4 linked regions of the Rhinolophus ferrumequinum genome follow. The protein of the gene in region 2 binds, or shares a complex with, the protein of the main gene of each other region. Links are inferred from orthologs where the notes say so. Each region holds a gene or a part of one and is shown on either strand. Other genes may lie near its edges.

Region 1 (7,447 bases), on a different chromosome or scaffold from region 2:
AGACATCCACAAAAGGATGGGTGCATTTGACTGATTCCAGACTAGATTCCAGACTGTACTATCTTTCAGTAACAGGAGGAGTGGACCCTGATCTTTCAGAAAGGAAAATGCATGAATAGTGCGTGTGGGGAATGAACAGAGCGAGAAATGAGGAGATCAGAATTCTGGTTTCAACTCCGCCGCTACCTGAGCCCACCACCTCAGGGAAGGCCCTTTACCAAAATGGAGTTCATTGTTCATTTGCAAACACGTGGGTTGAATGAGGTTATCTATCACAGCTCTCCAAATAAAATCAAACTCCTTATCATGGCCCACAGGAAGGCCTACACAGTCTACCGTCTGCCTGCATCTCCAACTTCATCCCCGCCATCTCCTGCTCACTCCGCATGTACCAGTTACACTGAAGCTCTTTCTGATCCTCTCAGGGCTGCACCAGCTTCTACATCACAGCCTATATATGTGTCATTCCCTCTGCCTTGATCATTCTGCCCTTTCTACATGATTGGTTCCTTCTCAACTTTTAGTCCTTTAATGTCCATTCCTTAGAGTCCTTCCCAGACAGTATTCCCTAAATAGGTCCTGTCTCCTACTCCCGGAGGTTATTTTCTTTAGCAGCACTGTCCAATGAAAATATATGGAAAGCCACAAACAAGCCAGATATATAACTTTACATTTTCTAATAGCCACATTAAAAGTTTTCAAGAAGGTGACGTTAATTTTAATAATATTTTATTTAAGCCAATATATCCTAAGTATTATCATTTCAACACATAATCAATATAAAATTAATATATTTATATTCATTTTTTTCATACTAAATCTTGGAAATCCAGTGTGTATTTTACACACATAGCAGATCTCAATGCAAACTAACCACATTTCAAGTGTTGACAGTCACATGTACCCAACGGCTAACACGCTAAACACTGCTCTACAATATTACCTGCGTACTCTTCAAAGCATTTACCACAATCTGAATTCTTGTTTCCTCACTTATTATCCTGTTACTTCCCAACAGACTATAAGCTCCACAAAAGCAAGAACTTTGTCTGCTTTGTTCAACGTCATATACTCAGTGGACACAGCACCTCGCATAGTGAGGGGTTCAATAAACATTTGTTGAGCAAATAAATGAACCTCTTCTCGCTTTGATATTCTAAGAGTCAATGAGTACCATTAACTCCAAATAGACAAACCACTCATTCAACAACTCTCCTATTTCCTTTCTTCTTTCACATTCAATTACCATCTTAAAAAGAGAAATCTCTTGGCTGTCTCTCTCCCCATTGCTTACCGTGTTTCCTGGAAAATAAGACCTAGCTGGACCATCAGCTCTAATGCATCTTTTGGAGCAAAAATTAATATAAGACCCAGTCTTCTTTTAATATAAGACCGGGTATAATATAATACTGGGTATAATATAATATAATACCAGGTATAATATAATTAATATAATTAATATAATATAATATAATATAATACCAGGTCTTCTATTAATTTTTGGTCCAAAAGACGCATTAGCGCTGATGGTCCGTCTATGTCTTATTTTCGGGGAGACACGGTACAAGTTCTGTCTAGTCTCCAAGGTCAGTTCTTTGTATAGTAGCTGAGGTAGTGGCACAAATATAACTGCTAACATCTACTAAATGTTTACTCTTTGATAAGCATTAGTCTAAGCTTCACAACAGACCTATGTGGTAAGTACCAACATTGCCTCCATTTACAGATGAGGAAACCAAGGCATAGACAAGTTAAGTCTTTTGTTCAAGGTTATAGCAGCCAGTTATTATTATAGCAAAACAAAGATTCCAAGCAACAGGGGCTCCAGACTCATGACTCTAAATTACCTATTCTCTATACTGCAGAGCTGTCTAATACAATATGAGGCCAGCTACATAGTAATTTTAGTAGCCACATCAAAGCGGTTAATAGTTACATAGTAAATAGAGACGGGTGAAATTTATTTTAAATATATTTTATTTCACCCATTATCCACAATAATCATTTAATTAAAATGGTCAATAACCAATGTTATTGATATAATTAATATGGTCGTGTAGTCAATATAAAAATTTTACTTTTTTCATACTGAGCCTTCAAATCCAGTGTGATTTTTACAGTTCCAGTACTTCTCAATTCAGACTAGTCCCATTTCAAGTGTTCAGTAGCCATATGTGCCTAGTGGCTACTAATATTGGAAAGAACAGCTCTAGTGTCACTCACAAGAAGCCTCTTTAGGAAATTAAAAGAGGGAGGAAAATTTTTGAGCTGGGAGCTAGCTCTTAATCCCAGCTCTTACTTGTTGAGTGACTTTGGACAAATCCTTTCTGCCCTCTAGGCCACCGTTTCCCCCTAAGTACCCCGAGCAAGGGGGACAAGATTCCTTGGGACCCATCCCAGGCTAGAATTCCGAACATCTCCCAACATCTGCAGTTAACATGGTGACAGCTTTCTACACTTTAAAATCAGCTTTCACATCCACTAGTTGACAGAGTCCTCAAACAATCCTACTAGATGGTCATCACTGTCTCCGTTTGATATATACAAAACCTGAGGCTCAAACAGGGCTAAATGACTTGTCCGAAAGCCACGTTAGCCTGTCAGTGGAGAAGCTGGGGCTCAAATGCAAGAAAGACCAATGCTGTCCGACCATCACCACCACAAACTCAATGACTGGAGAAGAGAGCTGAAGGTGGGTGGTGTGAAGCTAGTCTGGGGCCTTCAGAAGAGATGAAGGGACCAGGCCCCAGGGTAGGGTGAGAAGGGGCTCGAGTTTTGAGAAGGAATGAACTGAAAGAGACCAGGAGTGTCTCGAGAGGAAATGAAGTGAAATGAGAGGCTCGGATCTCAGTGGCATGAGAAGTCAGGGGATCCGGGCCCTTGACTGAGGTGAAAGGAGGTGAGATGAAGGGATTCTGGCACTGCGACCTGCCACCCCTGCCGGAGTGAGAGTACGGTCCCCCAGCCCTCTCGTCCCTCCTACCTGGTAGCTCAGAAGTTCGCCCACATCCATGGTTCCAGGCCCAGCCAACCACTGGTTCCCTCCACTCACGTCCAAACCGTGGCCCTCTTAGCAGCGGCTCCAGCCACACTGCCGAAAAGCGCCGTGAGCGGGGCCGCAGAGCCAATGAGGTAAAAGTGCGCGCGACACGTGAGCCAGCCACACTGCGGTTAAAGACAGCGCTACCGTAAAGTGCGCTGCGTTTGCGACAGTACTGCTTCCGCCCCGAGCCTGAAGGGGTGGGGAAAGAGGGCGGAGACTTGAAGGAGGGCGGTGCCCTGAGAGAAAAGACCTAAGGAGCCAAGGTTTATCCAGCGCGCCCCAAGTGCAGGGCGGAGTATTGAGTGTTTCGCAAGTGCTGTCACTTTTTTCCAGTGACTTAGACAATTTTATCCTTATTTTATCCTCATTTCACAGATAAGCAAACTGAGGCATAGAACTGCACTGTCCAGTACTATACCCCCTAACGTCATGTGGCTGGCTTCTGAGGGCTTGAAATAGGGCTAGTCTGAATTGAAATGTGCCGTAAGTGTAAAAAAAAATATACACTGGATTTTAAGACTTCTCTTGATTACGTGTTGAAATATTTTGGGTCTACTGGGTCAAATAAAATATAGTTTCACAAATTTCTTTTTACTTTTTAAATGTGGTTAGTAGAAAATGTAAATTATATGGGTGGCTCTCTTCTGTGGGACAGTTGTGGCTCAGAAAGGGTATTGTCCAAGGCCACACAACTATTACTGGCTGAAAAACTGTTGGTGATCACATTTCCCTCTTTGGGCTTCTGTTTATTCACCTATGCAAGACCCGGTGGGAACTGGATGATCTATAAAAAGGTTTCTTGTGGGAGAAAGTCGCCCATCATTGAAGCAAATCACTCCTGGGATTTAAAGAAGGGTCTACCTTCAAAGGGTGTTAAGCCTCTCCCCCAGTCCCCTTGGCCATTAGCCCCCTGCCCTTCATGTTCATATTTGTCTTAGTCCCTTCAGGCTGCTGTGGAAAAAATATCATACCCTGGATGGCTTATAAACAACACGATTTATTTCTCACGGTTCTGGAGGCTGGGAAGTCTAAGATCAGGGCGCTGGCAGATTTGTTGTCGGGTGAGGGACTACTTTGTAGCTCATAGACGGTGCCTTCTCACTGTGTCCACACGTGGCAAAGGAGGTGAGGGAGCTTTTTCCAGCCTCTTTTATAAAAGCATTAATCCCATTCATGAAGGCTCCACCTTTATGACCTAGTCATTTCCCAAAAGCCCCACTTCCTGACACTATCACCTTGGGAGTTAGGATTTCAACTTCCAAATTTGGGGAGGACACAAATGCTCAGACCATAGCAATATTTATAACCATCTTCCCCACCCCATCTTTACTATCTCCAGTTATACAGGAATTATTTTTATTCTTCAAAGGGCTAGATCCTCTCCTTTTCTGTCGGGCTACACCTCATCCAATTCTTTCTCATCCTTCACGTCTCACATGTCACTTTCTTAGAGTAAACTCAACTCACCTTTAGTCCAAGTAGGCACTCCCTTCTCATTATTCGCTTTCCTAGCACCTCCTGTACTACACATATATTTGCTTTTGTAATTTTGTACTTAGTGGTTGATTATTGTTTATTGACAGCCTCATTTGTTGGGACTCAGGCTCTGTGAGAGCAGGAATTACAGGTGTTCACCATTAAATCCTGCTACAAGAAGCCTAGCACAGTGCCTGACACAGGGGGATGTTTCACAACGAGCCTTATGGGTCGTAGTAAGGAGACTAGATTTAATTTTAGGAGCATTGGGAAGATATTGAAAGGTTTTAAGCAGAGGAGTTTTGTGATTTGTTTGTTTGTTGGTGTTTTAAGAATCACCTATGCAATCTGCTTGGAACTGAGTTATTTCGGTGTCTTTTCCCATTCTACTTAGCTGTAAGTAGGGACTGTGCCTTGTTTGGGGAGGCAGGATAGAGTCATGGTGGGGATATGCCCTTCAGAACTGACCCTTTTAGAATTATGTCCTAGTTCTTGGTATGCTGGAGCCGACTTGTATAGACAGATGTGCAAGAGCCTATGGTTACATTTTCAGGAAATTTGCAAGCAGGTTGACATCAGCTTGGTTGCTTGAAATCAGCCATAATGGGAGTGTTTAGATCATGGAAATCAACAAATGCTTCAAATCAGGGATACTGGTTTTTCAGAGAGTTGGTTATTAAACATTTACCAACACACCACTGATTCTGGCTCTAGTCAAAGTTCTACCACATCTCCCTGTGTGCCCTTGGTCAAGTTACTTTCTCTCTAAATTGCAATGCCCTCATCTGTAAGGTGACTCCTTCATTCACTCAACAAGTATTTACCGAGGGCCTACTCAATGCCAGACATAATTCTAGGCTCTGAGGATATAGAAGTTTATAAGAAAAAGTTCCTGCCCTCTTGGAACTGACATTCTAGCTGGGAAGGAAACCTAAGGAGGAGGAAGATATCATTACGATCCTTATTTTACAGGAGTGAAAACAGAGGCCCGTGACTTCACCTCTATGTTCCTGATTGACTCACCTGTAAAGTAGCGATTCAACGGAATTTACCTCATAAGATCAGGGGGAATTTACCTGAGATGCTGCATGCAAAGCCCTTAGCACAGTGCCTAGAACAGAAAAGTGCTAATTGATGTTTGATGTTCGTATTATGAGGAGTTGAGCAGGACTGGGGGGAACGGTGGGAAAAAGGAGACATTCCTTATCCTCTTTCCTTCGCAGGCATTCACATCTTGTCTGTGTGTGTTTAGAGACCAAGCCTTAAAACACAGAATTATAAGGCAAACCCCTGTGAGAACCAGGTTCGGTGAGCACCTTGCAATGGGGATAATGTGCCCTGACATGGAAGGCTTTTTCCAGCGGAGGGGCCATTTGGACTGGGTTTAAAGGATGAGGAGTGTTGCCCACAGAACATGGTGGGAGACTGGTGACCCAGGCAGAGGAAACAGCATGAGAAAATATATGGTAGTTGGACCATTTCTTGTAGACAGGGCATAGGGTGTGTGGCGGGAATGGTGGGAAATAGATAGGAGAGGGTGACTGGGGAAGATTATGGATGGGGTCGCCAGATTTAGCATGTAAAAATATAGGATACCCAGTTAAATCTGAATTTCACTTCAACAACAATGAAAAATTTAGTATAAATATGTTCCACGCAATATTTAATATCATACTAAAAACTGTTTTGAAATTGAAATTGAACTGGGCATCCTATATTTTATCTGGCAATCCCAGTTATGGAGGATGTTGAATGCCATAGTAAGATATTTCAGTTTTATCTTGATGAGAGAGTCCATTAAAAATTCCTTGGGAACCTCCCTGGGGATGAGACTTGGAGCACACATCCTTCAGGTCTCAGCTTAATGTCACCACATCAGAGGAGTCTTCCCTGACTACGAGATCTAAGACAGTTCCCCCTCCCCTCAAGATTCTCTGTCAAAATTCCTGACCATTATCTTCAGAGCACTTGAGATTTGTGTTCCTATATTCATTTGCTTTTTACTCATTTGGGATCTGTTTTCCCTTCCGTATTCTAAGCTCCAGAAGGGCACAGATTGTGCTGTTTTGTTCACCATAATAACCTCAGAATCTAACACAATACCTAGCACTTAACTGGCCCTCACTAAGTAGTTGTTGATTTAATAAATGAGCCATTCAATCTACTGATTGATTGATTGATTGATTGATTGATTGATTCATTCATTCATTCATTCATTCATTCATTCCTGGCACTAATATTATCAAATACCTTCAAATCCCTACCCCAAATCCTAACAACATGCTATTCCAATTTTAAAGGTGAGGAAATGGAAGTCCAGAAGAGCTATGTGAATACTAAGTGAAATAAGCCAGACAGAAAAAAATAAATACCTTATGATCTCATTTATACGTGGAATCTAAAAATAAAAGACAAAACAAACAAAACAGGTTCATGGATATAGAGAACAGATTGGTGGTTGCCTGAGTGGGGGTGGGGGTGGGCAAAGTGGTTGAAAGAGGTCAAACAGGTACAAATTTTCAGTTATAAAATGAATTATTCATGGGGATGTTATGTCCAGCATGGTGAGTATAGTTAATAACACTGTATTGCATATTTGAAAGTAGCTGAGAGTGGATTTTAAAAGTTCCCATCACAAGAAAAAAATATTTTGTAACTATGTATGGTGAACAGATGTTAACTCAACTTATCATGGTGATCATTTTGCAATATATACAAATATCGAATCATTACATTGTACATCTGAAACTAATATAATGTTATGTCAATTATACCCCAAAACAACAACAAAAAACTAACAAGGGAACAACAACAAAAAAAAGCTAGCTATGTGCTATGCATCCAGCAGTCCAAAAACATGTATTGATGATACTAATTTCAGAGTGGCATCCACGAGAGAGATGGGAGAAAGGCACCACCCAAGAGACC
Region 2 (7,130 bases):
CCATATCCTAATGGTTTCTGCCACCATTATACTACCACTTTTATTTTTATTTCCTGTAGAACTAAAACCCACCAACCAATACATATCTCACTCACTATTCCAATGAGGAAATCTAGACTTCCATCATAATACTAGTGGTGTTAAAATACGGTATGGCTCTAATTAGTCTTCCACCAAGAGGGGCACTAATAAAATATTTCATTTATTTTTAAAAATTCACACGTAAGTCCTGGCATTTCTGACAATGCCACACTCACCTTGGTTGGCAGGATACTGTTTATGACCATATGAATCTGATGCATTCTGAGGGCCCTTCTCTTTAAAATTTTCTTTCGAAGTAGGCATATGCAACACAGGACCATACTCATTCCTCAGCTTGATTGCCATTTTTCGTTTGTGACTATTTTAAAAAGTTATAAACAAAGGAATGTATTTTTAAGTACTTCAAATATAGTCACCAAAATAAATATAGTCACAGATAGACAGGAAACAAGTACTTAAATAGCTTAAGTTTGCCTAATTATGTAGAAAAAGTTTCTATGAAGATTTTAAACATTTTAAAAAGCTCAAAATTTCCAAGTACATTTCCACACTTTTATTCACAACCCACCACACAGCATCCATTAAGTCTAAGAAATATTTTAGCTTGTTAACCGATAAATATAAAACCTTTCATGATGAGTTATCAAGGGTCTAACTGATTTTAAAATATATAGAAACAAATATATCTTTTTTTTAAAAAACCTCAGAATCAATACTCTCCTTCAAATGTCTAAATACAAAAATATAGTAAAAGCTTCTACAATAACGTTTACTAGATATTTTGAAGGTTAGAAATGATCGAAGTACTTAATTAGCTCAATATTTTATAAAGAAATGCACTTATTATATTGCTTTCAAGAATAGCCTACTTTACAAATTAAATATAAATGCTTGTTTGAGGAATTAAGTAGACTTTAAAAGAAGGGTGAAGAACAAAGAAGGAACACTGCACATAATGCAATCCTAGACTGGAGCTGGAGATGTAGAACCAAAAATATGCCACCACTCAAAAATCTTCATCATACTAACGAGAAAAGATGGGAGTAGAAGTACTGGCCAGGTACAATTTCAGCTCAGCAAGGCTCTGAGAGCAGCGGGAGGGAAGCTGAAAGCACATACAAAGTGATTGATTATAAAATAAAATACCTAAATGGGACTCTCCTAATTACTGGGTATTTGTAAAATGCAATTAATTAATTAAGTAATTAACTAATTAATGTAAAAGGCCAAAAAAAAGTTAAATCAGCTTAAGTTACTCCACTCATTACTGAATAGATATTCTGTGAGTGTTAGTGTTATTCACTAAACTCTAAAGGTACCCCTCTCCCTGCTCTCTTCCCCCAATTTTAGGAGTTTAAATATTCTAGCAATTGAAAAGGAACTATACCTACCTCTCTTCATCCAAAGGCACAGGTTTTCCATTATCAGCTACAAACATGTCATGGGTCCTCTTCAACGACCGGAACACAAGTGTATGCACAGAATGTTTCTGTACTTCCTAGAAAGAAAGAGTATAATTACATATCTAGCCACAGACTACACATATCAAACCTAAATTAAAGTCAAATTGTCATTCCGTTGCATGTTTAAATATGTCAAAAACTTTGCACCGCTCACCAGAGCTACTTGTAGCAAGCTACAGCAGTCAAGTTCAAAGGACGAAGCTCCCCTTTTTTGCTAGAACCCCAAGTATAACAACTGAATTATGCCTGAGATTAGTCATTTATTCAATAAAAGTTTACTGAGCTACTATTTGTCTGGTAGGTACTGTGTCTGGTAGGTATTGGGCTGAAAGCTAACAACAGAACGACAAAAAGATGGTCATGGTCGCTGTGCTCAAGATGAAACAAGACACATTTAAATAAAAATAAGCAAAAATAACTCCACATTTTGATAAGTACTGTGAAGAAAAGAAGCAAGGGACTGAGAGAGTGGAGCAAAAACTTAGGATAGTTATGAAAGATCTCTCTGAGGTGCTATTTAAGCAGAAAGGGTGTTAGCCTTGCACAGAAAAGAGGTTAAGAACAATCCAGGCAGAAGGAAAACACCATGCGCAAAGGAATTCAGTAACAGAAAAAATGCCAGGAGGGGCAGAACAATTGTATGTGTTTGGTGAGAGGGTGAGTTATGATGCAAGATGAGGTTGCGAGGGTAGACATGGTCCAGATCTAGTTAGGGTTTTTTGTGTTTTTTTTTTTTTTAGACCATTATAGCAGTCTGTATTTTTGTTCTAGCAGCATAGGGCCAGTAAAGGGTTTTAAGTAAGAAAAGCAGGACCAACTTACATTTTTAAATAGATTAACTTGTGTGTGTGTGTGTGTGAGAGAGAGAGAGAGAGCGAGAGAGCGAGAGCGAGAGAGAGAGAGAGATGGAAGGAAGGAGACCAGTTTGGAACCAACGCAACTGTCGAGATGAAAGGTGAGGTTGGTCTGAATTACGGTGATGGCAATGGGAATGGACAAAAGTCAAGAAACAGTTCTGAGAAAAGACAGACAAGGCTTGCTAATAGAATGGTTGTTCAAGCTAGGGAAAGATGCAAAAATTCAAGAACGGCAGATTTTCCTGGGGAAGAGCTAAAAGAAGAGACAGAGTCACCACGGGAGCAAACCGCCAGTCGCCTAGAACACAGATGCACTGACACCACCCCGCAGGCGGCGAACACGGCGGTCGAACATCGACAGAAGCCGCACCTCCGAGGGCAGCGCCCCGCTCCAGTGCCCAAGGGTTAAATAAGGAGGGGAGGCGTTAGCTTAGGCTTCCCGCCCGGAGGGAACCTCCAATTCGTGCTCTCATCCCCTGAAAAGCCTCCCTCTCTCCCTGAAAACCTAGAGACAACCTGGCCTCGGCCAAACAGCCTCCCTGAGCAGCTTCTACTCTCCCTGGATCCCCTCGATCCCCCGTGCCTGTCGCCAAAGGAAAACAGTCCAGTAGCAAACTACCCCTCAGTACCAAATGTCACTTTACCTCAACCATGATGCTGCCGTGTATTTCCCCGCTCTGGCAGGAAAGATACTAATCACCAACAGAGAAACCGCCGCCACAACTGCAGCCTCTTCCGGAATCTGGCGCCCTGACGCCGGATGTGACGCAGCCCCGCACGTTGCGCGCTGGTCTCCCGCAGGCTTCCCGGGGTTGAGGCGCCGCCCTTTTTACCCTCCGGGCCGCCGCTGGGGCAGAGTCTCGGGGCTGCGGAGCGGACGCTCCGGGAACACGTGTTTTGCTAGGTGTAAAGAAAAATTGATGGAATTGGACATTTTCAAACTTGAATAAACAAACATTTCCCTGGCTCTGCTTATTCCTTAACCATAATCAGTTCCACTGATCTTGTCCCCGGAGCATACTGCATGTACTTGGAGGAGGGGGTGTGCAATCTATCAAAAGTATAGCAATGTGGATTGATCTTCCCATTTAGAAATGTATTGATTTAAATTAGTTAAACACATTAAAGTCATACTTGAAAAGGCAGTCATCCCCGAATTTGAGTGTAAGTTTTGCCTAAGAACTGATTTTCTCTAACAGTGGTCACTGATGTTAGGGCTTGCAAGGAAATATCATAATTACAAAATACATACTGTACTAGTGACACTAAATCTTGTAACTATAAAGACGGTAATAACTATACAAAAGAACATGATTTTAAATGGCAATAAAGTTATAGAAATGTAAGCAAGATTCTAATATGTCTATAGCAATATAGTAACTGTCTATTTGGGTCTATTAGCTTGTTAGTTACTATTCCTGAAAAAAAATGTAAGCCCAGACTCATAAAAACATTGTAATGACTGAGGTAGATTGGACGAGATTATGCTCCTTTTGAAAAGCTCTCTTAAATTTACAGAATTATATTATCCACTTGAAACTTTTAGAGAGCTCCGTGACCGTATTACTAGCTCAGGGATCCAAGAATTACCTATATATAGTATGTAAATTTTGTATTTATGTAAGAACCTGAATTTTGTTCTGGTGAAGGGATCTATAGGTTTCTTCGGATTCACAAAATGATCCACGACCCAGAAAAGGTTAAGAATCCCTGTCCCGGTTGACACCCGGAGCTGCCTTATTTGAGCAGTAGGGGTCACTGTTGCTCTTCATAAGGATAAGAGGATTTTCGTTACACTAAGACACGGGAGATAATACAAGTTATCATGTCTTTTGGAATTCCTGAGATCAGAAACAGAAAAAGAATACTTGGACATTTCTATCAGGAGTTTGGTCTTTAGTTGTTTATTACAATGATAAGAATGGACCCAACTGCTGAGGTAGTGTTTTCAGGTGCTTTCTGATAACACAGTTGAGAGGAAAGCTTTTGGGACTACAGGAGACAATGAGGGAGCTATTCTTCCACTTAATGCCTGGGAAGGCCTGGTACATAATTAAGCTACACTGTCAATTATATACATCTTAGTAAGCTGTGTGTGTGTGTGTGTGTGTGTGTGTGTGTGTGACGGGAAGAATGTGTTTTTTGTCACAGTTTCACTTTCCTCTATGAAGTCACATCCCATATCACAAAAACAAGAGTCAAAAGTGAACATGATCATGACTCATAATTTATCTTTATTTGTGTTTCCATTTTTGCAAAAATATGTCAGTGTTTATGCTGACAAAGTAAAAATTGCAATGTGACATTTCCAGTTTTCTTAGCTGAGTCCATATACCACCGTGTTCGATGGTAATATTTGTTTATCTGTATTTCCCAACAGACATATGGAGTGAGTATGCTGTGATATTCACTATTACACACCCAGTGTCTAGTTGACTTGCAACTTATATGCTTTCAAAATTTGTTGAACGATTGAGTAAGGAAGATGTTAAGTTTTAGACACTTAGATATGGGGTTGGAAGGCAATGAGACATAAATTTTGATGTGGGGTTGCAGATAGTAAATCTATAGGAAGGATATTGTGTGTGTGTGTGTGTGTGTGTGTGTGTGTGTGTGTGTGTAATGTGCTCACCCTTGAAAAGATGCTACTATTTCAACAACCATTAATTTAATCTTAACTCTTTTCTATGTGTAAGGCAGAGAATTGCTTGTATGAGGAGGACAGTCTGTCTTTCTAATCATAGTAAATTTTAAGAAAAGGAATTATTTTTCACTATATTTAGGTAAGTTAGTGCCAAATTTTGTTTCGTGTATTTCAAATTTAATTCTGATACTAACTTAAATGATACTAATTTATTTGTAAAAACATATGATTTGCAAAAATGGATTTATTTGGCAGAAAAACTTCCTGACATCAATAATTAAGAGGATTAAAGCATACTGATTGTATGAATATTTTACTATTATAATTTAGACATTTTTAGGCTTTCTTTTAAAATACTACCAAAAGTCAGCGTCATGTTTATAGGTTAACATTAAAAACATTCTAATTAGCCAGCCACAAAACTAGAATTCCTATTATCACCATTAGTATGCACACATTTTTGTCCTGAAAGTAGTAGTCATGCAATTGGATGAGAGAAAAAAAATAAGTGGTGTGAAATAAGAAATAATGAAACAAAGCTATCTTTATTTGTGTATGGTATGATTTTATGCCAAAAAGAAAAAAAAAAAGAAATCAACTGGAGAAACTATTGGAAACAATAAGAGAATTCACTAAAATATAATATCTGAGTACAAAAATAGTATTAAAAAATCAATAGCTTTCATATATGCAGTTAAAAATATAATGAAAAAATGATTTTATTTGTAACTTATAAATGATAAAAGCGCAAGACTTAAATAAAAAAAATTTAGAGGACATAAAAAAGATTTGAACTAATGAAAATGCATACCTTATTCTTGGATAGGAAGACTCAAAACTATAAATATATCTAATGCCCCATTAATCTAATTCTGGGCACATTTTACAGAAAATATTGTTAATTTAATTCAAGAAATAGTTACTAAATAGTGAATTTTTTTAAATGAATGTTACTAAAACTCTCCAAAATAAAATAAAAGTTGTAATATTTTACAGAGTTTTACTGCTGGTACTATATACTTCAGTACACAAACTTTTCATCATTTATTGTAATATAGCTTCTCTTTTGAAGATGCAATTTATGCTTTAAAAAAATAGTCTGATTTCTATTGATCTTAATTTTCTCTTTGGATTAGTTTAGCAAATCTGAGAGGCCATCTCAGCCTAATTTACCGAAAGATAATAGGGAGGGGGTGGATACTATTAAGGACATCAGGTGTCTCAGAGACTTGACAGAGGAATCAAATGAACAAGTTTAGAAGTTTTGATTATTTCTGCTGCTGGAGTTTGGAGCCTTTCCCTGTAGAATGCTGGTATGACCCATCTACCGGGCTAATTGACCTGATTCTCTGCTTATGTCCTTTGCAAACATTAAATTAAATTAAATTGGGTGAGAGAAGCTGATAGCGCTGACTTAGGTAAGGGTTCTACTCCTAGCTCAGTCATCTGTGGCTAGAGAGTCAGGATATCACAAGACTAACAGGACTATGCCTGCATTTTAGGGGTCATTCTATGAGAAGGGAGTAGCACTCCAACAGGTGTTCATTACATCCCTTGTCGTTTTGAGTCCCAATATGACAGAAGCAGAAGAGCATCTCTGTCTCTTCTCCAGCTCTTGTTATCAGCATTGGGTTGAACAAGAAAATATCCTATTTTTCCCATATTGCCATGCTCTGTCTCAGCTCCCTTAAGAAAAGCAAACTGTCATCTTCCAAATCAATAGAGGGAGACTCACCTCAAAAGACAGAGCCAACCCCTACTCTTCTCTGCAGCATGTTTTCCCGTCACAGACAGCTAACCAGTTACAGCTGTCACCATTACACTAATTTCAGGTCCATCAAAGCTCTGGTTCAAGAGGGCCTCCAACTCTTCAGTATTAATTTCCCCTTAAGTAGTGGTTTTCAAACTGTAGCTCAGGATGAAACAGGAAAAAAACACACAGAGACTAATAATGACTTAGTATAGTTTCTCAAAAGCTATGCCTATTTTGAAAAGAGAATCGGTATTTTATTTGTTCAGTCATTCACTCATTCATACATTCAAACCTTGTTCAACATATATTTATCAAATACCTTCCATGTTCCAGGTGTATAAAATATACCATACAGTCACTTAAACGACAAG
Region 3 (7,552 bases), on a different chromosome or scaffold from region 2:
TTGAAATCAGGGCTACATTTGAATAACAGTTAAGTAAAAATAAATACAGGGCAATGAAAGCCAAAATAAAATAGTATTTCAGAAAACATGATATAAATAAATTAGTGTATGGAGACAAAGGAGTTAACAAAACATACATCTGTTAGAGGATCATCTGCATCGAGGTTGGCAGCGGGAATCTGGTCTAACCGAGGCTTCTTTGACACAGAAGAGGAGGTTGTATGTTCTGGAAAAAAACAAACATCACTTCGCTTACTGAAACAAATACTGTACTTCTTAAAACATTTTAGGGACGTGGGCACAAAGAGCTTAGACTATAACCATCATGACAACAGGGATCAAAACCATGGTGCCTGGCAAATAAATCCTTGGTAAATATTTGTTGACAGAATTAATGAAAGTATTGATTTTAATATGGGAACTGCAGCCTCTCTCAGGGGAATTTAGAGAATAGTTTACATATGCTGGAAATATAAAAGACATTATATTAATAACTGATGTCACCTTCCTATAGCCAGTGACAAAAATGGGAAAATTTCATAGACTGAAATCACGGGGCTCCAAAAAGTGTGGCTCTTGTAAATAACCAATAACTCCTTGATCTGAACTGAAACAATGGCTGCTAAATAGCCCCAATCAACCTTTTCCTTCTGATATAGAATCATAAAAAGATGGACCTGAAATTGACCTCATTATCACTTCTCATCATTCAAGAAAGTTTTGCAGGCCATACCAATATTTAAAAGAAAACAAAAGACATAATCTATTCCAATTACCCCATGAAAGAAAAACTACTGTCAACATAATTTTATGAGACAAATGTCGGGGCAGTGTTTGTACCTCGGGTTGGACGATCTCTATTTTTTTCTCTTGCAGCAGCTCTCTCCCTCTCTTCCAACTCTCGCCTGAAGTCACGGTTCCGAACCTCTTCAGGGGCATCCTGAGTGGTCTGTCTAGAAACAAACCAGGACAAAAGTGTTAAAAAACAACCCCAGGATGTAGCAATGGAAGATAATTCACAAAAAGCAACTTTGTCCTCGAGTCCCTCAAGTATGAAAGAGGGAACTGGACAAAATTATTATCCTAATGTGAAGGTTATTAACAGGCATCCTTGTGATATTTCCAGATTTCAAGAAGCCCAAACTGAAATCATGTATGTCCCCGTAAGGCTGCAGATTGATTAAAATGTCTTTACTTTTTTGTTAGTATGTTAACTCAGGTCCTGCTACAGGAATACTTTTGATCTCATATTGATTAGTAGTAATAGTGCATGGTCCCTCTGAGTTAATATATTAGTTACTGTTTTATCTACATACAGAAATTCCTGGTTAAACAGGAATTTCTACATACAGAAATTCCTGGTTAAACAGGAATTTCTGCTTAAGGAATATCTGCTAGTATTTTACAATCACAGAACATAATTTTAGTGTTATACACTACTGCATTCTACTCCCATGAAAATAGATAACTTAAGCAATGTAAGCTAAACATGCTACTATCTCGTGACCATACTATTTAACAGATTTGATTTTGCTTTGTGAACACGAAAAAAATGAGTCTTCATTACCTGTATTTTATCTTTGTGTGAGAAGGTAGGTCTCTACTTGAATATTGCTTTGAGAGTTGGCTCAAATCACCTTCTCCTTTTCCTCTTCCACCTCTTGCAGGTTCAAAAGTTGGCCTAGCTGCTGTTGTCATCTTTTACGCTTTGAAGAAAAATAATATCACATTATTTCCCATATGGCAAAATCTCATTTTATAAAGTATTAATCAATATTCACCCTTGTGAAGTAATTTCCACAGCTCATTCCCCAAAACTTACTTAAATAACCTCAAACAAAAGTTCCACGGGGGAAAAAAATGAGGTTCAGGGAGGTACAAGGAATATGGCTTGTTAGGAAGCTCCTATCTGGTACAAAAAATTCTAGTCACGAAGATCTGAATTTGTGTTCCCGTTCTCCTTCTGGTTCTGTGGCCTTGAGCAAGTCACCAAGCTTAAGTTTCTCTCATCTGTGGAATGGGGATATTCGTCATAGAATTATTATGTGATTTGCCATGGCAAAACTCTTGTAAAATATGATACTGCCATGACTGAGTCTTAAAAATTCTCAACTCAACCTTACTCCACCAGACTCCTTAAAGTTCGCATTTTATCTATTAGGTTGGTGCAAAAGTAACTGCGGTTTAAAAGATTAAACATTGCAAAAACCGCAATTACTTTTGCAACAACCTACTAAACCTCACACAACAGAAAATAGGCTAGTAACTACAAAAACAAAAAGAGTATTTTAAAAATCACAAAAATAATACCTTAATTACAATTACTGAGTGTCCTGGAGAAAAGTGCTAAACTTCAATGACAATTACATGGGAAGAATTCTCCAACAACCTTCTGTTGACCCAACTTTCTCTTACAGCAGCCAACGTAATATAAAATCAGGTCTTTTGTAGGTTATAACTTAAGGAACGCTCATAAGACAGGAATCTCACCCCCAAAGAATTGTGATAAGATCAGAGACTCGTTCTTTACGTTACTTTTGGTTTTGAATAGTCGAAAGAATACCACACCCAGCAGATGTGGCTACTAAAATCCCGGTAAGCGTCAGAAAACCAAGTGCATGGAGGAAGTTGGGGTAACTAACTGGTAGTATACGTCTCTAGATTTTAAAAAAAAAGGTAAAAAGATGTGTCCAGTGGAGGAGAAACAGGGTTTCCTGCCGCTGGGGGCGCCGCTGCCTCCCACACCCCCTCCGCACAATTGTCACTCTGGCCACCCGGGAGTTCGCCTTCGGGAGGTCACCAGGAACTCGCTGACTCTTCCCCTTGCCCTACCCCGCGATCGATGCGAGGCCCAGACCCTGCTTAACGCGGTCTGTAGCGTTGCCTCGGCGCTGCACTCTCCGGGGCCCCCGGGACTGGAGACGCGCCCACAGGTGCAGAGCTCCACCCCCCGCCCCCAGCTCCAGGGCCTGCTCCGCCCGCGCTCGGTTCTCCGTCGGCGACTCCGATCCAAACCGCCCTTTCCCGCCCCAGTCGGATAACGAAGACAATCTGCTATCTTCCCACCGCTCACGTTGGCCGAGATCCGATGCAGCAGCCGTCGAAGGGGATTCAGACACCATTACCACTCCTGACTCCCAGAATCCTCTGCGCCAGGGGCCAATGCCGATGACCCGGAAGCGAACCGCAAGCACTTTAGCCGCCCTTCAGAGGCGGAAGCCTCGACCAATCCTCAGAGACCGAGGTGGTGTCGGCGTGACGACAGCAAGGGGCAGGGTCGAAACAGCCCAGGGGGCGGGCGTTTGAAATCCGTGCTTTAGAGCATACCCTAAACATGATTTTATACCTTCAAGAACCAATTACTTAATGTCTCTTCCGTCTTTTCCTTCCCCGACCCCCTCCCAGACTCCTTCATTCCGGTACTGCGTGGACGGAAAGCCCCGGGTAGCCGACACCACGTCCCCGGCTAGCGAGAGAGAGCGTAGAAAAGGATTACACCCAACTGTTTAAATCCAACGGCTCCTGCTGCCTTTCTCCTGATCTAGACCCAACAAGCCTAGAGAGTTGGGCTACGGAAAAACTAGTATTTTCATTTAATTGGATATGAAGAAAGAACAAATATGTACGGGGGCAACCACGATCTTTATAAAGGTACCATTCCTGCCAAAATATTAGTCTTCAAAGCAAAGGTTGTATTCGTATTGTTTGGGAAAATTTTTACTTTAAAAAAAGCTAAGTTCTAGCGGGAGGGGAGATGTCACTATTAGAGATTCATTTATTAATTGAGCGTTTAGAACGGTGGGCCCAACTGCCAGGAGCACGAGATGCAATTATTATAAGATGGCTACTCAGGCGTCAGGTGAAGTTTTCAAAAGACAACGAACAGGAAAAAAAAGCATGAATTGTTCTTCCGTCTCTCCTCCGCCCCCTTCTGCCTCCCCCCCCCCCCCAAAGAAAAACACTCTGGGGGCAGAGATCTGGTTTGCTTAGTTTATTTTGGTATCTCATCACTTGGCTATAGTAGATCCTCAATAAATGGTTAAACAAATGAAAATTCAGCTCCTTCAACTTAGTTTCAAATGTAAAAGAGCTTGTAAAATTAAACATCAAAATGATTTTATTTTCCCAGAACTCTGAAACTTTCAAATGGAAAAAAATAAAAAGTAGACAAACTCCCTTTCTCCATAAAGTTCAAGATGTAAATCTTGATTTTTTTCTTACTGAAGGTATTACTCAAGTGTCACACATTTCAGTAAAGGACACTATTATACCATTACTTAAACCCAAATCCCAAGGCTTCTTAAATTCCTTTCTCTTCACTCTTCACATCCATTTCCTTTGCAAGTCTTGCCAATTCAACTTCCAAAATATACCCTAAATTTCATTCTACTGCCAATATCCCAGTCCAAGCCACCGTCATTTTCCACATGGATTGTTACTGCCTCCCAATGGATCTTCCTGCTTCCACCTTTGTCCTACATTCAATTTTGCATGTAGCAGTGAGAGTGATATTTTAAAATTATGAATCACATAGTGTGACTGTTCTGCATAAAAATCCATTACAGTTAGAATAAAAATCATATTTCTTACTGTGGCCTGAGGACCCATCAGGCCGCCCCTCCTGCCTACCTCCCTGACTTCACTTCTAATCAGTCACTTTCTTTCACACTAAGTTCTAGCACAGCCAACTGGGCATCTCTGTTTCACAAACAAGGAAAGTCTCCTTTACACTAGCTTTTCTCTACTGCCTGTGCTCCAAGATACCTATATTTCCATCCTTCCAGTCTCAGTCCAAATGTCACCTCCTCAGTGAAGTTTTCCCTGACATCTACGTTTGCATCCCTACTCCTCCAACACACAAATATTGTCACATCACCCTGTTTTATTTTTTTCATAATACTAAACCTACCTGAATTTGTTCATTATTTGTTTATTGCCTTATTTATTGTCTGAAAGGCGGCATAGCAAAGTCATTAAGAGAAAGAAACCTGTAGCCTGACAGGCTTGGTTCTAAATTCCAGTTCTGCCCTTTCCTAGCTGTGTACCCTTAGGCAAGTTGTTTTCCCTTTCTGTGCCCTCAGTTTCCTCGTATAAAATGGGAAAATTCTACACTGTACTTCATAATGTTATTATAAGGATTAGTTGAATTAATATTTGTAAAGTGCTTAAAACTGTCTCAGCAAACAGTACTTGCTAAATAAATGTTAGCTATTATTATTATTAATATTATTTTTATTATTGTCTATCTTCCTATATTAGAACATAAGTTCCAGAAAATCAGGAACCTTGTCTCTCTTGTTCACTGGTGTATCCTCTGCATATAGAACAGTGCCTGGCACATAATAGGTGCTGAGTAAGTATTTGTTGAATGAATGAATGATTGATGCACTATGAAGTGGAGGAATGAAGTAACAATGACAAGGTGGTGACACAATTATAGAAAATACCCCTGATTTTTGTGTTCCAACTGCCTTATCAACCCTGAGCCAATCACCCTGATTCATTTAACTACTGGCCCACAGCCTAATTTTTTGATCATTATCCATGGTTAAATAACCACACTTGTAATTTACCAGCAGTGGTATAATTAACACCAACATGCAATATAATCAGTCCACAAAATTAAAAGTTTTGACTTAAATGCTCTGAAAGTATTAATAAGAAAAAGAAACTAATTTTTTTTTACTTAAGTGATTGTAAAGTACTAATAAGAAAATGAAACTGTAAAGCTTTTGACTAAAATGATTTGAAAGTCTTTGAAAAAGAAATGAAAAGTAAGTTTACTAAAACTTTAAAATTCATCCTTTCAGCTACGCTTGCTGGCAAAAATCATTTATTACCTCCCAAGAATTCTCATTTTAAACCTATTACCACAAAAATCTAGTTGAGCCCTTAATTCTGCCTGCCAGTCCTCTTATATTGTCCTAATTGTTTATTTTCTCACTCTGCAATAATATGATTTCTCACATTCCTCTCTTTCCTCAAATCTGTATGCCTCTTCTACCCTCTTGGCCTTCCTCGTCCTCTTTCCCAAGAGCGGACAATCGTCTAACTTTTCAGGGAAAATAAAAGCTCTTAAACAAGGATTCCTCATCTGCTCCCCAGCAGACCTACCGAGCTGCCTTTGACTTTTCCCATGCCCTCAGCTTTCTATGTGTTAGAGGTGAGGTGACCCAAACCCTCTCCCTTGTGCTCTGGGTCCCAGTCCCTCTAGTCTGCTTAGTGACTGGCATCCTACTATATTTCCTGTCTCTCATAATCTATTAATCCATCCCTTTCAGTTCATTCCTACCAGTTTTTGGATATGGTGTAGTACATATTAACCTTAAAAATTGCTCCTTCGTTTTAACATGACACGGTTGTATTTTAATTCAATGTGAAAAGAATGTTTTGTATAATTATGATAGCAAAACTGACTATTCTTATAGCAGGATGTAATGTAGGAATTCTGGTTTCAAAGCCTACACAAACACTACGTCCAGTTGAATTAAACACCCCAAAGGAAAACAGTAACTGAAGAAATCGAAGAAGAAAATTTAAGACTATTTATACAAACTAGGGTTTGTAAAAGATAAACTCCAGATTAGCAGGTGAATTCTGTAATGTGTCTAACATATGAAGGATTATGACTACCCCACTACTATTAATACACATAATATAAAAAATACAAACAACCCAATAAAAAAATTGGGCAACGAATGTAAACAGGCTATTCAGAAAAAGCAATTCCAAATAGATAATAAACATGAAAGACTCAAGCACCCCATTAAGAAAATGAAAGCAAACTAACAATTATCACATTATAGCATTAGTTTGTCAACAATTTTTAAAAATTAATAATACTGTTAGATGGGATTGGGTGCAAAGGGGATCCAGTCAGACAGCAGGGAGGCATTGACTCCACTTCCCTCACAGTCAAAGTCAAAGGTGCTCACAGTGACTTACAAGGTTCTCCTCAACGTGTTGACCTCTCTTGATCATGCCTCTCTAGGCTACACGCCTTCCTAGTGTTGTTTGAGCATAGCTCCTGCATTAGCTATTTCCCTGGCTAAGAACACTCTTGCCGGTCTTATTCAAGTCTTTGTTCAAATGAGGTCAGCCAATTAAGACAGCCCTGTTTATAGCTGGCAACCCTCCTCCACATTTGTCCTGTAACATCCTGCACTCCTTATCTCGCTTATCCTGCTCTACTTTTCCTTTAGCACGTATCGTTTTCCATGATCCTATAAATTTACTTATGTTTATTATTTCTTTCTCTACCTATCACATGCAGGATATAAATTCTACAAGGGAGGAGTCTGTTTTGCCCAGTGATGTAGTCCCCACATCTAAAACAATGTCTGGCACCAACAGGCGCCCATAAACGTTTTACAAATGAGTGACTAAATGAATGAATAAATGAATGAATGAATGAGTTTTAACTGGGGGGTGGAAATCACATTTTGATGTAAAAAGGATTGCCTTAATAGTTTTATATTTTAAAGGAGAAAAAGGTAATTTATGTTCTACTAGTCTGAAATTCATATTTGAAAAGAACATACACCAAGACCCA
Region 4 (8,101 bases), on a different chromosome or scaffold from region 2:
ACACCTGCTCTTCTGGAGCTTACATTCCAGTTGCGGGACACACAATAAATAAAATACATAAAACAGGATATGTCAGGTGGTAATAAATTATGTGAAGGAAAATAAAGCAGGTTAAGGAGCTGCAGAAGGATGGAGAAGGGAGTGTCACTGAGTTGATATTTGAGCAGAGACCAGAGGAGATGACAGAGAAAGCCATGAGGATGTGAGAAGGAAAAGTGTTCCAAGCAGAGAGAACAGTAAGAGCAAAGGTACTGAAGCAGGACAAGATCTGGTATGTCTGAAAAATATGAGGAAAGTCAACCTGACTGAACTAGAGATATGGATGTAGAGAGGGGTGGTAAGAGATTAATTAGGAGAGCTGGGCAGGAGCCACAAGGGAGACCATTGAGACAGTAACTGCAGCAGTCCAATGCCAGTAGTGATGCTAGTGGCTCAGACCAGCACAGTGGTAGTGGCGACGGGGAGAACTGTTCCGATTTTAGAGGTATTTTGAAAAGGAATATGATAGGATTCTGCTGAAAGATTGTATTGTGGTATGAAATAAAGAGGTGCGTCAAAGGTGGGTGCTAAGGTTTTTAGGCTGAGTAAGAGAAAGGATGGCTGTAAATGTGATCAACTGAGACGTGGAAAGCTGAGCAAGGAGGAAAACTGAGAGAAATGAGGCCAAAGCTGGAAGAGGATGGAGAGTGAAAGTCTTTTTTTCTTTTGTATGATGAAAGAAACCAGAGGACATCTGAAGGCTAATAAGAAAGTTCAGTCAAAAGAGATGGTGGTCTGGGGCTGTAGGAAAGTCAGGCTCCAAAGCACTGCAAAAAACAAACTGTGAATGAAGAGGTGAAAAGAGGGTCCATGGGTATGAAAGACAGACTTGGTTACTTATGTAGACACACCCGTTACCTCCCATCATCACTCCCGCAGTTCTTTATATTCGCTCCAGATACACCATAAATTGCCTCACTGTCGGACACGCACCACATTGATTTCCTGCCATCATGCCATGGTCTGGGTCATTGCTGCCATTAGGAGTACTCACCCTGCTCTCCCTTTTCTCACTAAACCCTACCTGTCCTTCCAGGCCTCACTCCTACCACTCTGGTTTCAGTCTCCATCACTACTGGTCACCTTGCTTCCACCTCTGCTTACTTAGTCTGTTCTGTTCACAGCAGCCAGAGAAATCCTGTCAAAACATAAGTCGTGTCCTTTCTCTGCTCAGAGCCCTCTCCTCACTCTCATCTCATTCAGACTAAAATCCACGTCCTCACCACAGCCCACAAGGCCCTGCCTAGTTCAGCCTTCCCACTGATGAGCTCATCTACGACCCCTCCCTCTCCCTCATTCCACTTCGGTCACATCAGTCCCCTTGGTGTTCCTCAAACACTCCAAAGGATGGAAGGACGGGTAAGTAGTATGCATCATCACACACACACACACACACACACACACACACACACACACACACTTCTCCTGCTGTGTGCAGGGAGGCAAGCCTGTCAGACAGGGAAAAGAGAGGCTGGGAGAGGAGGGGGGCGAGGGGCCAGCTCACTGTCTCAGCCTGGGGTTCACTGTCTGTGCCTTCCCCGTTGGGAGTGCATCCTTTCTGGATCATGGGGATAGCGAGCGTGGGGTCAACACCTGCATTCTCGCTCTCCTCCAGAGACTTCTTGGATTCTAAGGAAGAATGGGAGCAATGAGGTTCCACCCTTCCCTTCCATTTTCCTCCTGTTCTTCCTTTACTGGGGCAAGGCAAATGGGGGATCACTCACCCTCAATGAGCTCCTTCACAGCCTGGGACAGCACCCCATCCCCCATGGCCTCAATATCTGTGGATGGCCCCGGGGCCTGGGTTGGTGGCTGCCTGCGATGGCCATACTGGATCAAGGGGATGACGAGTTCCTTGGGGGCTTCTGAGGGCTTTACACTAATGTGAACACAGAAGGGTGAAGTTGGGAGAGTAGTATGGTCAGTGGGTTGAGCCACACCCCTTCATTCAGAGAAAACACAAGAGCCAAGCTCACCCCAAGTCCCATGGACAGCGCCCTCGGTTCTGTCTGGCTCTCCTGTTAGGTCTCTCATGGTACTTTCTTTGGATTCTCTCCTCCACCCCCAACTCCTAATTGTGCCTTTGGGGAATCAGTCCTCAGTCGATGGCTTCCACAATGACCCACAAATCACTATATTCAGCCTGTATTCTCTCCCCAGCTCCAGGCTCCACACCTGCCTCCTTGGCTGGTTGATTTTTTTCTGGAAATCCCTCCCTCAGACTCTCCTTTCCGGATTAAGCTGACGAAGGCATCCTCCAACCTGAATCTGTCGCTCCATCCCGTTTCCCCGTATCAGAGAAGCCCCACCGCATCAGTTGAGACATTAGGGGTCCTGTAATTCTCTCCTCTTTTCCTTCTCTCAGAACGCACACATCTCAGGGTTCCTAAATCCTAAAGACACTCCCTCTCAGGAATCCATCCTCTCTTGTCAATCCCCACGGCCATCAGGCTCAATTTCTCCACCTGTCCTACAAACTCCCGCCTTCTCGCCTCCACGAATTTCCTCTGGCGGTATTCAGGCTTTCCAGGTCACTGTCACCGAGACAATCAACTCAGATTGCACCCTCCCACTTGCACCCAGCGCACCGACTTCCAAGGGATGAACGACTCGGCGCTTCACCTCTGCAACTCCCTCCCTTCCACGGTCTTCAAGAAATCCTTCTCCTCCGGGGCCGCACCCGCGCCGTCTCCTGGGCCCGCCAGCCGTCTCCGGGCGGACGTGCGACTAAAGCTGAACGAAATCGGGGCAGTGGAGGCTCCCGCCGGCCGCAAAACACCTTCTTCCGCATCCGCCATCTTGCCCCTCTTCCCAGGCTGGTGAGCTGCTTGCTGGGAAGGTTAGTTTGGGCTCGGGTTGCCCGGGACCTGACAACTAGCGCTAGAACTACCTACCTTCCCACAAAATACTGCGGCATCGACAGGTGAAAGCGGGCGGTGGGAAGCAATTGTCGCCCTTTTTACTTCATAGGCGCGCGTCGCGCTAAGCATATAGGGAAATGTAGTTCTTCAGGGAGGTAGGCGTGGTAGGAGGCTGATTCATTCTTAGCAGATATTCAGTACTTCGTGTAGGCGTTTGACAAGTATTTATTGATCGCGTACTGTGTACACGTTACTGTGCCCTACTGGTGTGAGAAGTGTAGGCAAGATAAATCATTTAAGAAAAAGTGTGAATGCCAGTCGTGTACAATAAAAAATAATAATAGAGCCATGTAAATGGTGCCTACCGATACCAGATTTAATACTGGACAAGCTCTGGATTCAACTATTAATAAAAAATGCACCTCCTCCTTTCTAGAGGCTCATAGTGCAGTGGGGAGCAATGACACTTAAACAAATATTTAAAAAATATTTCCTATCAACATTAAATATGTTGTGAGACCCAGATCCTAAGTCTTCAAAAGATTAATTAGACAGGTTCCCCTTGTGTATGACCTTAAGAGTTAGTAAAGTAGAAGACTGTTACTTAAACAAATAGTCACAAGAAAGAATACTACAAATATACAAAAAATTCATCCCAAAGAAATCATTGAAGATGTGCAAAAGGATTTTTATATGAGATTCATCATACTATTATTGTAGCAAGATCTTGAAGACCTCTTAAATGAACAACAGAAGAGGATGAGGCAAAAAGAATTATAGTACATGTCTTGGATGGAAATCATATACTTGAGCCTTTAAATGTGAAGCTATAAATATAATGAAATGAAATGGAAATGTTTGGAAAGTAGAATCTTATGGTGGGGTCAGAGGATTGTCTTGAAAACAGGAAGCCCATTATTTGATCAATCTCGTGGCCATGTTTCCAGGCTTAGAATCCCTAGGCATCCTGGAAAGGGCCCTGGAATCTCGAGAGAGAAGCCACTGTGGTTTTCAAAATATACAACAACAAACATCTTTTAATTTTTATTTTGAAATAATTTTAGAATTAAAAATAGTAAGAGAGTTCCTGTATATTCTTCATCCACATCCACCTACAGGATAGTTAACAAGATTATGTGCTCTCTTGAGGGTGGTTACACTTCAGGGGTCTGAAAAAGAGACATTTCAAAGGTGTATTAACTTAGATGCACAGAAACAATGGATGGGGCTTGCTTAAGGCCAAGATAAACCTTTTACTAAAGAAGTTATATGCCTGGGATGAGACTACCCACCATAACCTACCCAATTAGGAATTTATGATCAATCACCATATGAGGTTACTTTTGATTAGATTTATTACAGTGCCCCTCCCTTTTTTGTCCAAAAGGGCTTTGTGAGCAATTAAGAGGAGGCAGGTATCTCCATGATAGCAACAAGCAAAACAGGAAAGAAACAGCTAAGGAGAGCCCATCTAAGGGGTTACTTCAGAGCAAGCTGCAAAGACTACCCTCAAAGCTTACCTACCCCATACAAAAGGCCTGACTTTAATTGGATAAAACTATGGAACAAATTATGCCCTACGGCATTGTCAAAAATTAGTTTAGATTAACAGCTGGGTATGGTATCAATATAGGCATACCAACCAGAAATTAAACTAGGAGATCAGGGAAAGAAACAAAGAGAGCCTGGATAAAAGTAAGGTCATTTCAGTGTGTCTGTGCTCATGCCTAAGGCTGAACCCTCTGAAGAGGTTCGTGAGGCAGAAATAGATTTGACTAAATTAGTATAATCAAGTCACTAAACAAACAAGCAAACAACAACAAAAATGGGCAGATCAGTACCTAGAGTTGCTACAATGTTATATAAAATGTCCAGTTTTCAACAACGAATTATGTGACATGCAAAGAAACAAAAAGATGTGACCCATATGTGGGGTGGGGTGGGGAAAAGGAAACAGAAACTGCCTGTTAGAGGGCCCAAATGCTGGACCTAGCAGATAAAGATTTCAAAGTGGTTATTATACATTTGTTCAAAGAAGTAAAAGAAATCATGTATAAAGACTTAAGGGAAGGTATGATACTGTGTTTCCCCAAAATATGAGCTAGCCGGACAATCAGCTCTAAAGAGCCTTTTGGAGCAAAAATTAATATAAGACCCGGTATTATATTATATTATATTATATTATATTATATTACATTACGTTATATTATATTGTATTATATTATACCGGGTCTTATATTATAGTAAAATAAGACCAGGTCTTATGTTAATTCTTGCTCCAAAAGACGCACGAGAGCTGATTGTCCAGCTAGGTCTTATTTTCGGGGAAACACGGTATGTAACAGTATTTCATCAAATAGAAAATGTCAATAAAGAAATAAAATTACCAAAAAAAAAATGACCAAATGGAAATCCCAGAGTTGAAAAGTACAATAACCAAAATGAAAATATTTCACCAGAAGGGCCAATAGTAGATTTGAACTGGCAGAAAAAAATAATCAGTGAACTAGAAGAGAGATCAATACAGATTATGCAATCTGAAGAACAGACAGTAAAAGGAATCAAGAAAAACGAACACAGCATCAGAGAAATATGGGACACCATTAGGTTCACTGACATATGTGCAATGGGAGTATCAGAAGAAGTGGATACAGGGCCAGCCCGGTGGCTCAGGCGGTTAGAGCTCCATGCTCCTAACTCCGAAGGCTGCCGGTTCGATTCCCACATGGGCCAGTGGGCTCTCGACCACAAGGTTGCCAGTTCAATCCCTCGACTCCCGCAAGGGATGGTGGGCTGCGCCCCCTGCAACTAGCAACAGCAACTGGACCTGGAGCTGAGCTGCGCCCTCCACAACTAAGACTAAAAGGACAATAACTTGAAGCTGAATGACACCCTCCACAACTAAGATTGAAAGGACAACAACCTGACTTGGAAAAAAAGAAAGTCCTGGAAGTACACACTGTTCCCCAATAAAGTCCTGTTCCCCTTCCCCAATAAAAAAAATAAATAAGTGAAAAAAAAAGAAGTGGAGACAGAGAGAGGAGCAGAAAAATTATTCTAAGAAATAATAGCTAAAAACATTCTAAATTTGGTTAATGAACTTTTAATCCACATGTTCAAGAAGCTTAATGAACTCCAAATAGGATAAATGCAAAGAGATTAATACCCAGACATATCATAGTCAAAATGTCAAAATCCAAAGAGAAAACATTGCAAGCACAAATGTAATTGCAGAACAAGCTCAAAATGGTCCTATCCTGTTCAAGGAGATACTGAGTTGCTTTTCAGAGACTACAGACCAAGACTGCAAGTCGTGCAGTCAGGGCATGTGCAGAGGAGAGAACTTTAGCCTCCAGCTGCACCTGGAACCAAAGTCTTGTCCCCCAACTCATGGAATCAAAGAACCAGGACATAACCGGAACTTGAACACCGGAACACTTTCAGAAGCCAAGGGCCCATTGTCCAGGAAGATCCGGTGTTGATGCCCCTTTACCATCAATGATCAAGATCCAAGGTCCTCCAATTAAAACTTGCCCCATCAGAACTTCCACATACCTGTTCCCCCTTGCCCCTTAAAAACCATTGGCCTGGTCCAGCGAGCAAGATGGCATTGAAGCACCACGAGGTTTTCCATCTTCTCATTTGGGCGCCTTCTCAATCAATAAACCTTTCCTTACTCCAAACTCTATGATGTTTTGAGTTTTGTCCAAGCATCAGGCACACGGATTTCGGTCTGGTAACCAATGAGAAAAATCACTCTTTACATACAAGGTAACCCCAGTAACATTATAAGCTGATTTACTATCAGAAGCAATGGGTTCAGTAGACAGCTAAAATCATTCTTAATGTGAAAGTTTGAATAGTTTCTATCCAAGATCAGAAACAAAACAACAATGCTGCTCTTGCTACTTCTATTTAATATTGTCCTTGAAGTTCTAATCAGGAAAGATAGACAAGAAAAAAGAAATTAAAGGTATCCAAATAGGAAAGGAAGAAGTAAAACCATCTCTATTGCAGATGACATTCTATAGAAAATTCTAGGAATCCACTAAAAAGCTATCAGAACTAATAAGCAAGTTTGGCAAGGTTACAGGATTGATCAGTATACAAAAATCAATTGTATTTCTATAAGCAAAATAAAAATGAAATTAAGAAAATAATTCCATTTACAAAAGCCTTAAAATAATAAAATACCTAGAAATAAATTTAACAAAAGAAGTGTAACAAATGTACTGTGAAAACTACAAAACATTGTTGAAAGAAATTACAGAAGACCTAAATAAATGGAGAGACATCCAACATTGACTTGTGCTAGATTCTCAGGCTGACCCTGTCCATTGCTCTCCTGCAGCTCCCATCCTATTAAGCTATCCTCTCCCTCCCCAAGGTTCCTTAAGCAAGTCTCCAGCTCATGGAGTTTTTAAGCTCCTCAAAAAACCCAAGGTATTTCACAACTTACTGTATTTGCCATGCTGGGAACTCCGAGTGGGAAGCAAGGGGGCCTTCCATGACAGGAGATTTTCCGTGACATTACTGTCTTTTTTATTTTTGACATTACTGTCTTTACAGTCCAACATGCTACCTGCTGGGGGATGGCAGAGGCTATGAAACCTGTTTAGTGAATCTCCATAGAAGCCACGTAGGTCCCGCCCCCTAATTTAACGATCTAGCTTTCATCTCTTTGAACTTACGTCGGGCTTTGACCACCATTTAACTACCTAGGCAGTGTCCTTTCAAGGCTTTGCCCACAGAAATAACTGTCTTTATCCCGCCTTCTTAAATAATAATCCTGGGACCGGCTACTTGAATCATCCTCCAGACCTTCCTACTTCCCTCTAAACACGCAGACCCTGCCCCTCAAATAACACCCTAGGCCCATCCGGGAGGGCGCACTCTCCAGGATTCGACTCCTGAACATTCCAGGCGCCACCCTCTAATTAGCCTACACACCTCAGCCATTCCCGACATTTCGAGCCCCGCCCACAATGCATTTATAGGGCCCACCCTCTAGACACCATTCCAGTCCCACCCCTTAGCTAAGTGGCGGCCACCAACACGCTCCAGGCCCCGCCTCCTCAGAAATGCCATTCTAAGCCTCGCTGACCTCGCTGGGGATAACCATCCATCCTCGAACCCTCATCTAATCTTCCAACACTCACCTACGGTACTGCAATAACCCTCCCAGGGTCACCTCCTAGAGG

Evidence for each region.
Region 1: PLRG1 (region 2) and CTNNBL1 share a complex: the UniProt entries of both Homo sapiens proteins name them as parts of the PRP19-CDC5L splicing complex. The link is inferred for Rhinolophus ferrumequinum from reciprocal best matches to the Homo sapiens genes PLRG1 and CTNNBL1.
Region 3: PLRG1 (region 2) and CWC15 share a complex: the UniProt entries of both Homo sapiens proteins name them as parts of the PRP19-CDC5L splicing complex. The link is inferred for Rhinolophus ferrumequinum from reciprocal best matches to the Homo sapiens genes PLRG1 and CWC15.
Region 4: PLRG1 (region 2) and GPKOW share a complex: the UniProt entries of both Homo sapiens proteins name them as parts of the minor spliceosome. The link is inferred for Rhinolophus ferrumequinum from reciprocal best matches to the Homo sapiens genes PLRG1 and GPKOW.

What each region holds. Positions count from the first base shown.
Region 1 is NC_046306.1:18,333,127-18,340,573, forward strand, and holds the start of CTNNBL1 (beta-catenin-like protein 1), read right to left. Parts: upstream 3,132-7,447; 5' UTR 3,014-3,131; coding exon 2,984-3,013; intron 1-2,983. UniProt on the Homo sapiens protein: Component of the PRP19-CDC5L complex that forms an integral part of the spliceosome and is required for activating pre-mRNA splicing.
Region 2 is NC_046301.1:25,387,155-25,394,284, forward strand, and holds the start of PLRG1 (pleiotropic regulator 1), read right to left. Parts: upstream 3,137-7,130; 5' UTR 3,016-3,136; coding exon 3,007-3,015; intron 1,541-3,006; coding exon 1,434-1,540; intron 1,148-1,433; exon of another isoform or gene 1,072-1,147; intron 401-1,071; coding exon 258-400; intron 1-257. UniProt on the Homo sapiens protein: Involved in pre-mRNA splicing as component of the spliceosome. Component of the PRP19-CDC5L complex that forms an integral part of the spliceosome and is required for activating pre-mRNA splicing.
Region 3 is NC_046294.1:65,762,632-65,770,183, forward strand, and holds the start of CWC15 (spliceosome-associated protein CWC15 homolog), read right to left. Parts: upstream 3,184-7,552; 5' UTR 3,067-3,183; intron 2,909-3,066; exon of another isoform or gene 2,833-2,908; intron 1,996-2,832; exon of another isoform or gene 1,823-1,995; intron 1,707-1,822; 5' UTR 1,699-1,706; coding exon 1,568-1,698; intron 954-1,567; coding exon 841-953; intron 227-840; coding exon 138-226; intron 1-137. UniProt on the Homo sapiens protein: Involved in pre-mRNA splicing as component of the spliceosome. Component of the PRP19-CDC5L complex that forms an integral part of the spliceosome and is required for activating pre-mRNA splicing.
Region 4 is NC_046284.1:85,590,628-85,598,728, reverse strand, and holds the start of GPKOW (G-patch domain and KOW motifs-containing protein), read right to left. Parts: upstream 3,026-8,101; 5' UTR 2,957-3,025; coding exon of another isoform or gene 2,934-2,956; 5' UTR 2,838-2,933; coding exon 2,662-2,837; intron 1,919-2,661; coding exon 1,764-1,918; intron 1,669-1,763; coding exon 1,544-1,668; intron 1-1,543. Other genes in the region: uncharacterized protein LOC117016622, read right to left, coding at 4,062-4,069, 7,360-7,485. UniProt on the Homo sapiens protein: RNA-binding protein involved in pre-mRNA splicing. As a component of the minor spliceosome, involved in the splicing of U12-type introns in pre-mRNAs.